2 linked regions of the Sus scrofa genome follow. The protein of the gene in region 2 purifies or fractionates together with the protein of the main gene of each other region. This does not show direct contact. Links are inferred from orthologs where the notes say so. Each region holds a gene or a part of one and is shown on either strand. Other genes may lie near its edges.

Region 1 (4,666 bases), on a different chromosome or scaffold from region 2:
TGATAGTTTGTATCTCCTAACCCCAAACTCCCAGTCCATCCCACTCTCTCTCCACTCCCTCTTGGCAACCACAAGTCTTTTCTCCATGTCTGTGAGTCTGCTTCTGTTCTGTAGAAGGTTCATTTGTGCCATATTTTACATTCCACATATAAGTGATATCATGTGGTATTTGTTTTTCTCTTTCTTACTTACTTCACTTAGTATGAGAATCTCTAGTTGCATCCATGTTGCTGTGACATTCATTCTTTATACAAATACTAGTGAGAACTTACTATAGTAAGTCAGGTATACATGCCAGGTACTATGCTAGGTGCCAAGTTTTGGCCTTGGGTGGCACGTTGTCATTTCCTGAGATAAGAAACACTGGAGTGGGAGCAAATTTAAGATAAAAGGTGGTGGGTTCAGCTTTGGATGTGTTGAGTTTGAGGTGCCTGCAATATGTCCAAGTGGAGATGTCAAGAAAGCAGAGCTCAGAGAAAAGTTCTGGATGGAGCTATAAAAATACGGTTGTGGTCATGCAGATGGTAAGTCATGCCAAGTGAGTGAAAAATCATTTAGGGAGAGGGTATATATAGCTTATTCCTGAGAATGTCCATCTTTCAGAGGTTAGAAAGCTGAAATGGAGTCAGCAAAGGAGACTGAGGAGAGAGCAAAGTGGTAGGAGGAAAAACAAAAGTGTATGGCGTCTTAGATGCCACAGGAAGACTCGAGGAGGAAATGGCTAACTGCACTAAATGTAGGGGAAAGGTTAAGCAAGATAAGGAGTGAAAATGCTCTGTTTATTTATTTAATATAGTTTTTTTTTGACATGGCGATCATTGGTTGGGTATCTTGTTAAGCACAGTTTCAGTGGAGTGTTGAGGGAAGGACGCCACATTGCTGAGTAAGAAGTAAGGGGATAGAGATTGCAAATGTACCTGTAAAGTACATTTTCAGTAAATTTGCCCATAAAGAGGAGCTGGAAAGGTACCTAGTGTATAGAGAGGATTTTTTTTTAATATGGCAGAGACTTGAGCATGTTTAATTGCTGATGACAGATGAGAGGGACTTGAGTGTGGTAAATGGCTGATGAGAAGAATGGAGGGAGAGGAGAGAGAGGGAGAGGAGTCTGTAAGTACTGGGTAAAAATAAACGTTTTAAAGTCAATTGATATATATTGCTCACTGTTTTCTAAAAGAGTTTTTAACCAGCATACACTCCTACTGGCAATTATGAGAGAGCTTGTTTGGTGGCCACTTTGTCTTCTTTAAGTGTTATAAAAATAAGCAAGGAAGCAAACAAAAACCTTTGCCAAAGAATTTCATTATTGATCTAATTTGCTCTTTTTTGGACTAGGGAGTTGAATGTTTTAATCAGTTGTATCCATGTGTGCATTTAGTCTCTGTCTTCCCCCCCCAAAGTTTCTATTTTAGACAGATGCTTTTATTTGCCATAAAAAGCTGAAAGTCAAAGCATGAGAATGGTATCATATTTTATCTCCCCCAATTATATGCTCTTGAGTCTTCATCTTCTTAGAAGTACACAACTTTTGGCTCAGCTGAACTGAAGAGAAAGATGTATATCATTGAGAGAGTGACCACCGAGAGTCTAGTCTTAGACTCTTATCCTCGGTCCTCAAGCCCCGTTTGCTAACCTGGGACAGCACTCCTTAAGTGCCTTAAGACTTGGGCTCCCAGAGCTCCACTTGGGTGGTGCGGCCCCCTACCAAGGAGCCCGGAGCTCTGTGCGGCCCCTTTAAGAGTCCAGCTCCTCCCAGCTCCAGGGAAAGTTGCAGCTTTTTCCGCCTCCCGGGAGGGTGAGAAGGGCCGGCCGCTGGAGCTGGGTGGCGGTCTTCCCGGAGCCAGAGACCCTACCCTGAATCTGGCACTGGGACGTCTCGCCCTCTTGCGGCACCTGTTGCAGGTGACAGGTAGGTCCGTGGCCCTCGACCGCCCCTCTGCCCTTGGTCCGGGACGTCTCCTGGGCCCCCAGTCCCATTTCGCTGCCTGGGCGCTCCCACCCCCATCTCGGGGACCTGCACCCTTCCTTACCCCCTTCCACTCTCCCAGTCTCGTCTTAGCTGACCCCCCGTTCCCTCTCTCCGGTCCGCCTCTACGGACCGCACCCCCACGCTTTGACTCACGTCTGCTGGGGCAGTCCCTCCCCGCCACTTTGCCTTTTCCCCCTGCCCCCACCCCAGGTCCTTTCCCTGGCCGCTTCCCAGGCCAGTCCGTCGCCGCCGCGGGTTGTGCCCCTTGGGACTCTGCCTCCTCCGGAGTGGCTGGCTTTTCCCGCCCTCCAGAGCCTGGGGCCCCTTCTGAGAGCTGGCCCTGGGGGCGGGGGTGGGGCCGAGCTCCTAGCGGGAACCGCGCCTTCCGAGGTGTCGAGTCACCTTTTCGGCGGTGTCTCCCGCTGCGCCCGGCCGTCGCGCGTGGTCTCTGCCCCGCACTGCTTCCGGACCACGGACCTCGCGGCGTCCACTTCCCTAGCCTGGGCTGATCCGCCTCAGGTAAACGCTGGAGGCCGGTTGGCCAAGGTCCTGCCACAGTGGGCACCGTCTGCACTTGGGGCTGAGGACCCAGCTGTGTGGTCTGGAGCTGAACCGCTTTATCTTGTCACCCTTACATCAGGCTGTGGGGGTATGCTCCTGGAAGAGGGTCCTCAGAGCCCTAAGAAGGGGCACCGAACGCTTCTGCCTACTGTGATGGTTTGTAAAAGGGCAGAAAAGCTGTCTCTCCAGCCCTTAAAGTTGAATAAGATGGTTGGGTTTATTGGTGGTGAAGTCATGTGGTTAGAATTTTGGTGACTTCAACAGGTGATCTATTTCTCCTTAACAAACCTTTTCTTCCCCCAGGATCTTGCCTGCTTCAAAACCAGAGGACCTAGCATTCCAGAATACTGCTTTTGGCAGGGTTGACCCTAGACCTTGTACGTTTGTGCTAGAAATTAGTCTTCAGTACATCTTGTATCTTCTATTTTTAACTGGCTTCTTTTCTGCTCTTTCAGCTCCCCACCCCACCTCTCATAAATCCATTAATATTAAGGTTTTAATTACCTTATGTGTTTACTCGCTGGTCTGTGGAGAGAACAATGTTTAATGCAAAGAGTTGAAGTTTTCTGCTGTAGTTGTAAATGTTATTTTTTTTAAGAACTTGCTTGAAAACCTTGTTAAAAAAAAAAAAAAAGGACTGTACACCAACTTGGCTTGTGAGACCTTTCCTGGCAGGGGATGAATGTTGCTGGTAGCACAATTTCAGGTGCTTCACTCTAGGTCAGAGCTTTGAAATGGAGTTTGGAGACCTGTTCGGGGATAGTTGGTCTGCGAGTATATGTGGCATTCTCGTTGACGCTCTCTGAGCTTTTCCCCTTAAAGGCTGCTGCTAATCATGGTTGCTAGAATCCATTGATTCAGGCACTGTGATAAGTTCTTTACATAATTATCTCACATAATCTTAATGTCAACTCAATTGCTAGGCACTACAATTATAACCATGCTAGGATAAAAGGGAGACTCTGAGAATTGAAGTACCTTGCCTCAAGTCACCCAACTGGTTGGGGGAAGAGTGGGGCCATCTGATTGTAGAGCTCTGTTTGTATCCCCTGCCACACCACCTCTGCTATCTTAGATGTTAGGAACACTAAATTGCTCACAGGTGAGGACTCAATGATTAAAAATTTTCCTTTCAAGCCAAAGCCTAACTTTTGGTCTTTGGCTTGACCTCAGAGGCGCTGCAGAGATTTTGGACCCCTTAGCTCACTGATGTGTTATCCACTTCACTTCCAATGTGGGGCTGGCTGGTTGCCACACTGCCACTCTAAACACACACCCCTGAATGTACGTTGTTGAATGAAACCTCTGGGGCTCTCAGCTCAGTAGGAATTGTCCTGAGAGTGTGACCCTGGATTCTAGGGATGTGCGCCTGACTCAATTTTTTCCTTTCCTGCTGGCTAGTGGAGAAGTGAGGGGGTGGAAAGTGATAAGGATTTCCCAACAGCCAGACCAGAGAGCCTGAAGCTGAGTGTGAGTGTGTGCTTGTGTTATTGTGGGGTGGATGAAGTACCTTAGGCAGGGACAGTCCATGAGAAAATGCCCTTCTTGATCCCATCTTTGGGTCTTTGCTCAAATTACTCTTTTTTTTTTTAATTCCTGAAGAGATAACTTGCCACCTGTATACATTCCCGTGCCATTAATTCCTCTTCATCTCTCAAGATTTAGCTCTAAAGTCATCTCCTTTGGGACCACCTTACTGAACACACATTTCCTTCCCCTGAGCAGAATTAGCAGTTATCCTGTGTCCTAATGTACTTTGTTTACACCTCAGGGAAATCCCTTAATGCTGTTGTTAGTTGGTTTTCCACCTGGAAGGTTGTAACCTCTGTAAGGTTTGGATCTTGGAGCTCCCTTTGTCTTAAGTGCAAGAGATTAACAAATATTTGTGCTAGGACCTGGGGATGCCATACCTGTAAGGGCCTGAGGTCAGGTGATGGTGGGATTGAAGGACAGAGGACACCTTATGGAGGCACTTGAAATCTGACAGCTAAGAGTTTGTACTTAAATGTCACCTTAGTGAGGCTCTCCTTATTTAAACTTAGAACCCCTTCCCTGAGCATTCCATATGCCCTTTCCTTACCTTATTACTCTAATGTAATATATTGTGTATTTTATTCATTTTTCTTTCTTATTGCC
Region 2 (3,902 bases):
AAAAAAAAAAAAAAAGAAAAAGAAAAAACTGCAAATTAAATATTATCTTTTGTGCTATATCAATTAAAAATAGAGGAAAAATAAAATACTACTCTTCCGTGCTGACATATATCAATCTGGCTTGAATAACTGGGATTAGGCTACTTTATGTTTAAATTGCCGCAAAGGCTGGGGATTTTTCTCTACCAGTCTTCCTGGTAACCCTCCTTTTCTTCAAAAAAGAAAAATTAAATTTCAATGTGGGCTTATTGATGGACACGCTGTGGCTGCTCTGCTCTGCAGCAATTTCTCAATTAATTAAGCTATTGCTTAATTAACCCTTTAGTTACCCCACATGCAAGGGTGCCCACTCAGAAAATGCTGCTGTTTGTTGTGTCACTTCCAGACTAAATGTCATAGACCTGCCGGCTTCCTTAGTTGTCAGAAGTCCTTCGAGACTTACTGGACAAGTGGAATTCATGGCCTGTCAACTGCAATAACAAAGTCCTTACGTATAGGTGTTGATTCTTCTATAGTATCAAAGGAAATCACAATTCCAAGCCACCTTGGGTGAGCCACATAAAAGCCACCATTTTGAAGGTGACACAAGAAATGCTAAACTTGTGACTTTTTAAAGTTAATCTGTGGCCCCCAGTCTGGTTTCATTTTGTAAGGCCAACAAGCAAAGAGAGCCATTGGGTCCCAACACCGCCAAGGGAAGTTACTCAGTCCCACTTACTCATCCAGTTTCTGACATTTAAGAAGCTCTGTTGACTGGTGAGGTCGAACATTAATAAGAAACCCATGGCATCTCTGAAAAATGCAGTGGTGAGGCTCCGGAATCTGCCAAGAAAGCACAGCGGATAGTTCTGAAAGTTAGTTCACATTCATATTCTGATAACAACAGAAACGACACTATTTCTCTTTCAAATACCCAATCTCCAGAGCATCCCACGGATTATCCAACAGAATGAGAGTGGGCAGAAAGACTGTGGAAGGGCCAGGGGAGCACATCTGGTTGCAGGTTTGTTCAAGATGACATCCCAGCTTTATGTCCCCATAGCATGTATGCAGGCAAGAGTTTGTAACCTCCAACCACACACTGGCTTACACAGTCCCTTGGAATCTTTCTCCCGTTGGCTCATGGGCATCGTGCAGCCCACAATTAAAATATAAGCTATTTTAGAGTTGGGATTCTAACTTATACTTTTCAATTTTCCTGTCTGTGCCCAGAAGGAAGCTTGGCACGTGGTAGCCTGCACATGAATGGCCGTGATTACATGCAGAAGACCACAACTCGTTAGCAGCCGGAACTATGATTCTTTTGTAAGGAAAAACAATGTGGAGGAGAACATTTTTCTATATGCACTCTTTGGGGGTAAGACTGAGCTCTAGGCTGGCATGCATGTCTCTTAAGGAGAAAGATGACAGTGAAGAAAGGAAAAGAAGAAGTTGATTAGGGGAATCAAGGGAAGGGCAAAGAGGTAGTTGATGAGAGGAAATGAGAAAAGTCATCTCTAATGGAGGATTTTTTTTTTTTTTTTTTTTTGTCTTTTTGCCATTTCTTGGGCCGCTCCTGCGGCATATGGAGGTTCCCAGGCTAGGGGTCGAATCGGAGCTGTAGCTGCTGGCCTACGCCAGAGCCACAGCAACGCAGGATCCGAGCCTCGTCTGCGACCTACACCACAGCTCACAGCAACGCCGGATCGTTAACCCACTGAGCAAGGGCAGGGATCGAACCTGCAACCTCATGGTTCCTAGTCAGATTCGTTAACCACTGCGCCACGACGGGAACTCCTCTAATGGAGGATTTTGAAGAATACACTCCATCATGTGTGATGTAAAGACTCTCTCTCCTGCTTCTACCTGACCCCCACCCCCATCCCAACAGCCTCAGGGCTGAAGATGCTCTGAGGTCCACTTCAATGTCAGGAATGGGCCAAACAAGAGATCACACCTAGGGTTCAGAGAAGGTATGGGTTATACTGGTAAAGAAGTGAATCTGACAACTGGTTTTTTGAAAGGCAACTTACTTTGAAATAGAGAAGCATATCACTTCCTATCTTAAATGTCCTTCTACTGTTTGGTTCCCTATTTTAGCCAATTTGTAGATTCTTGGTTTCCTTTCTTGACCCTTTCTTCCTCTACATCCATTCACTGGGTAATCGCACTCATTTCTCCAGATCAACTATCACCTATATGTTGAACCCCAAATTTATAGGCTCTGATCTTTCCTGCCCTCCACAATGTCTGCCCAATTACTAGTTGGATATTTCCACTTGGAGGAAATTAAGCTACTCCCAACGTCACATGTCTGAAACCAAACTTGCCCCTCCTCCTGATTTCTTTTTCTGTCAGTGGCATCACCGTCCTCCTTGGTTGCTACAGCCTCTTTCTCCTTCACCTGCTAAATACAAACCAACAAATATATCTTCCGACCTCTTCTCACTTCTGTCCATGTACCCTGACACCACTCTAGTTTCCAAACCATTTTCATCCCACCTGGATCATTTTAATAGCTTTCTCTCTCTCTCTCTTTCTCTTTTTTTTTTTTTTTTTTTTTTTTTTTTTTTGTCTTTTTGCCTTTTCTAGGGCCGCACCTGTGGCATATGGAGGTTCCCAGGCTAGGGGTCGAATTGGAGCTGTAGCTGCCGGCCTATGCCAGAGCCACAGCAATGCGGGATCCAAGCCGCGTCTGCAACCTACACCACAGCTCATGGCAACGCAGGATCCTTCACCCCCTGAGCAAGGCCAGGGATTGAACCCGCAACCTCATGGTTCCTAGTCGGATTCGTTAACCACTGAGCCACAACGGGAACTCCTAACAGCTTTCTCAATAGGCTTCCCGTCTCCAGTTTTGTTTGGGAACCTCCCCTTCCCTGATTTCTCCCCATTGATTATATAAATCCTTAGCTAAACCATTTAAATGATGAGGCACTGCTCTTCAGATAATGACAACTTTTTAAAGCAACCTGTCCAGGCTCTGCATGAACTAACCCTTGCCCATCTATCCTTCTTTATCTCCTGACTCCCCACAGGCGTGCTGCTCCTCTTGCAGTTCTTAGGAAGTTCACTCTCTCCCCTGGGCTTTCACACATGCTGTTATTCCTGTGGGTAACCTCACCTTCATGCTTCCCTTACCTCCTCCCCCTTCAGCCTGGATAAGAGTCACTCATACATTGTGTATGAATGTGTATCTATAACAGGATCACTTCCCCACACAGCCATCCAGCACCCCCTCCTGGGTTATGGACTCCTCTTAGCCGTACCTGCCTATCACTTTTTGTTTTCCTGTTAGTGTCCTAAAGCTATATTGCTACTGCGTATTTATCCAAATTCTACCCTACACTGGAAGCTCCAAGAGAAAAGGAGATGTGTTTCTAACTTGCTATCCACTGTGTTTTTGTGGCCGTGAACATATATATATATATATATTTTTTTTTGGTTCACAAAATATTTGTCAAATTTAGAGAAAGAAAATAGCAAATGATACAAAATTATTAAAGATTTAAATGACTTCAACAGAGAACAATACTTTTAGTACCGAAGTAGGGAGAAGAGATATTTTAATGACTGTTATTTCCCAAATAAGATTTCTTTGGTAGGACATAATTACATTGCTTATGAAATACCAAAAATTTTACTCAATTTTATTTTTGTGGATTTGTTCCTACCAGTCAGTAGAAGCTCCCAGAGGTTACAATGCTTTTATTGAATGGTTCTCTCTCTTTCTCTTTCTTTGGGGACTGCCTGTACTCACAAAGTTGTCTCCTACTCACCCATGATAGTGTGGCTAAGTCAGCCACAAAAGTCTGCTCTCTGTTCTCTCCTTAAGAGTGGTGAGTGTGTGTGTATGTGTGTGTGTGTGTGTGTGTGTGTGTGTGTGTGTGCGCTGAGGATAAGACTATGCCTCATCCCCCTCT

Evidence for each region. The genes of interacting proteins can lie anywhere in the genome.
Region 1: the proteins of RAB27B (region 2) and SYTL4 purify together in Homo sapiens (co-immunoprecipitation; 3 studies listed by BioGRID and IntAct, counting the BioPlex papers as one, with this or other methods). This does not show direct contact. The link is inferred for Sus scrofa from reciprocal best matches to the Homo sapiens genes RAB27B and SYTL4.

Annotation. Positions count from the first base shown.
Region 1 is NC_010461.5:82,434,528-82,439,193, reverse strand, and holds the start of SYTL4 (synaptotagmin-like protein 4), read left to right. Parts: upstream 1-1,754; 5' UTR 1,755-1,909; intron 1,910-2,235; exon of another isoform or gene 2,236-2,488; intron 2,489-4,666. UniProt on the Homo sapiens protein: Modulates exocytosis of dense-core granules and secretion of hormones in the pancreas and the pituitary. Interacts with vesicles containing negatively charged phospholipids in a Ca(2+)-independent manner.
Region 2 is NC_010443.5:104,405,117-104,409,018, reverse strand, and holds part of RAB27B (ras-related protein Rab-27B), read right to left. Parts: intron 823-3,902; coding exon 719-822; intron 1-718. UniProt on the Homo sapiens protein: Small GTPase which cycles between active GTP-bound and inactive GDP-bound states. In its active state, binds to a variety of effector proteins to regulate homeostasis of late endocytic pathway, including endosomal positioning, maturation and secretion.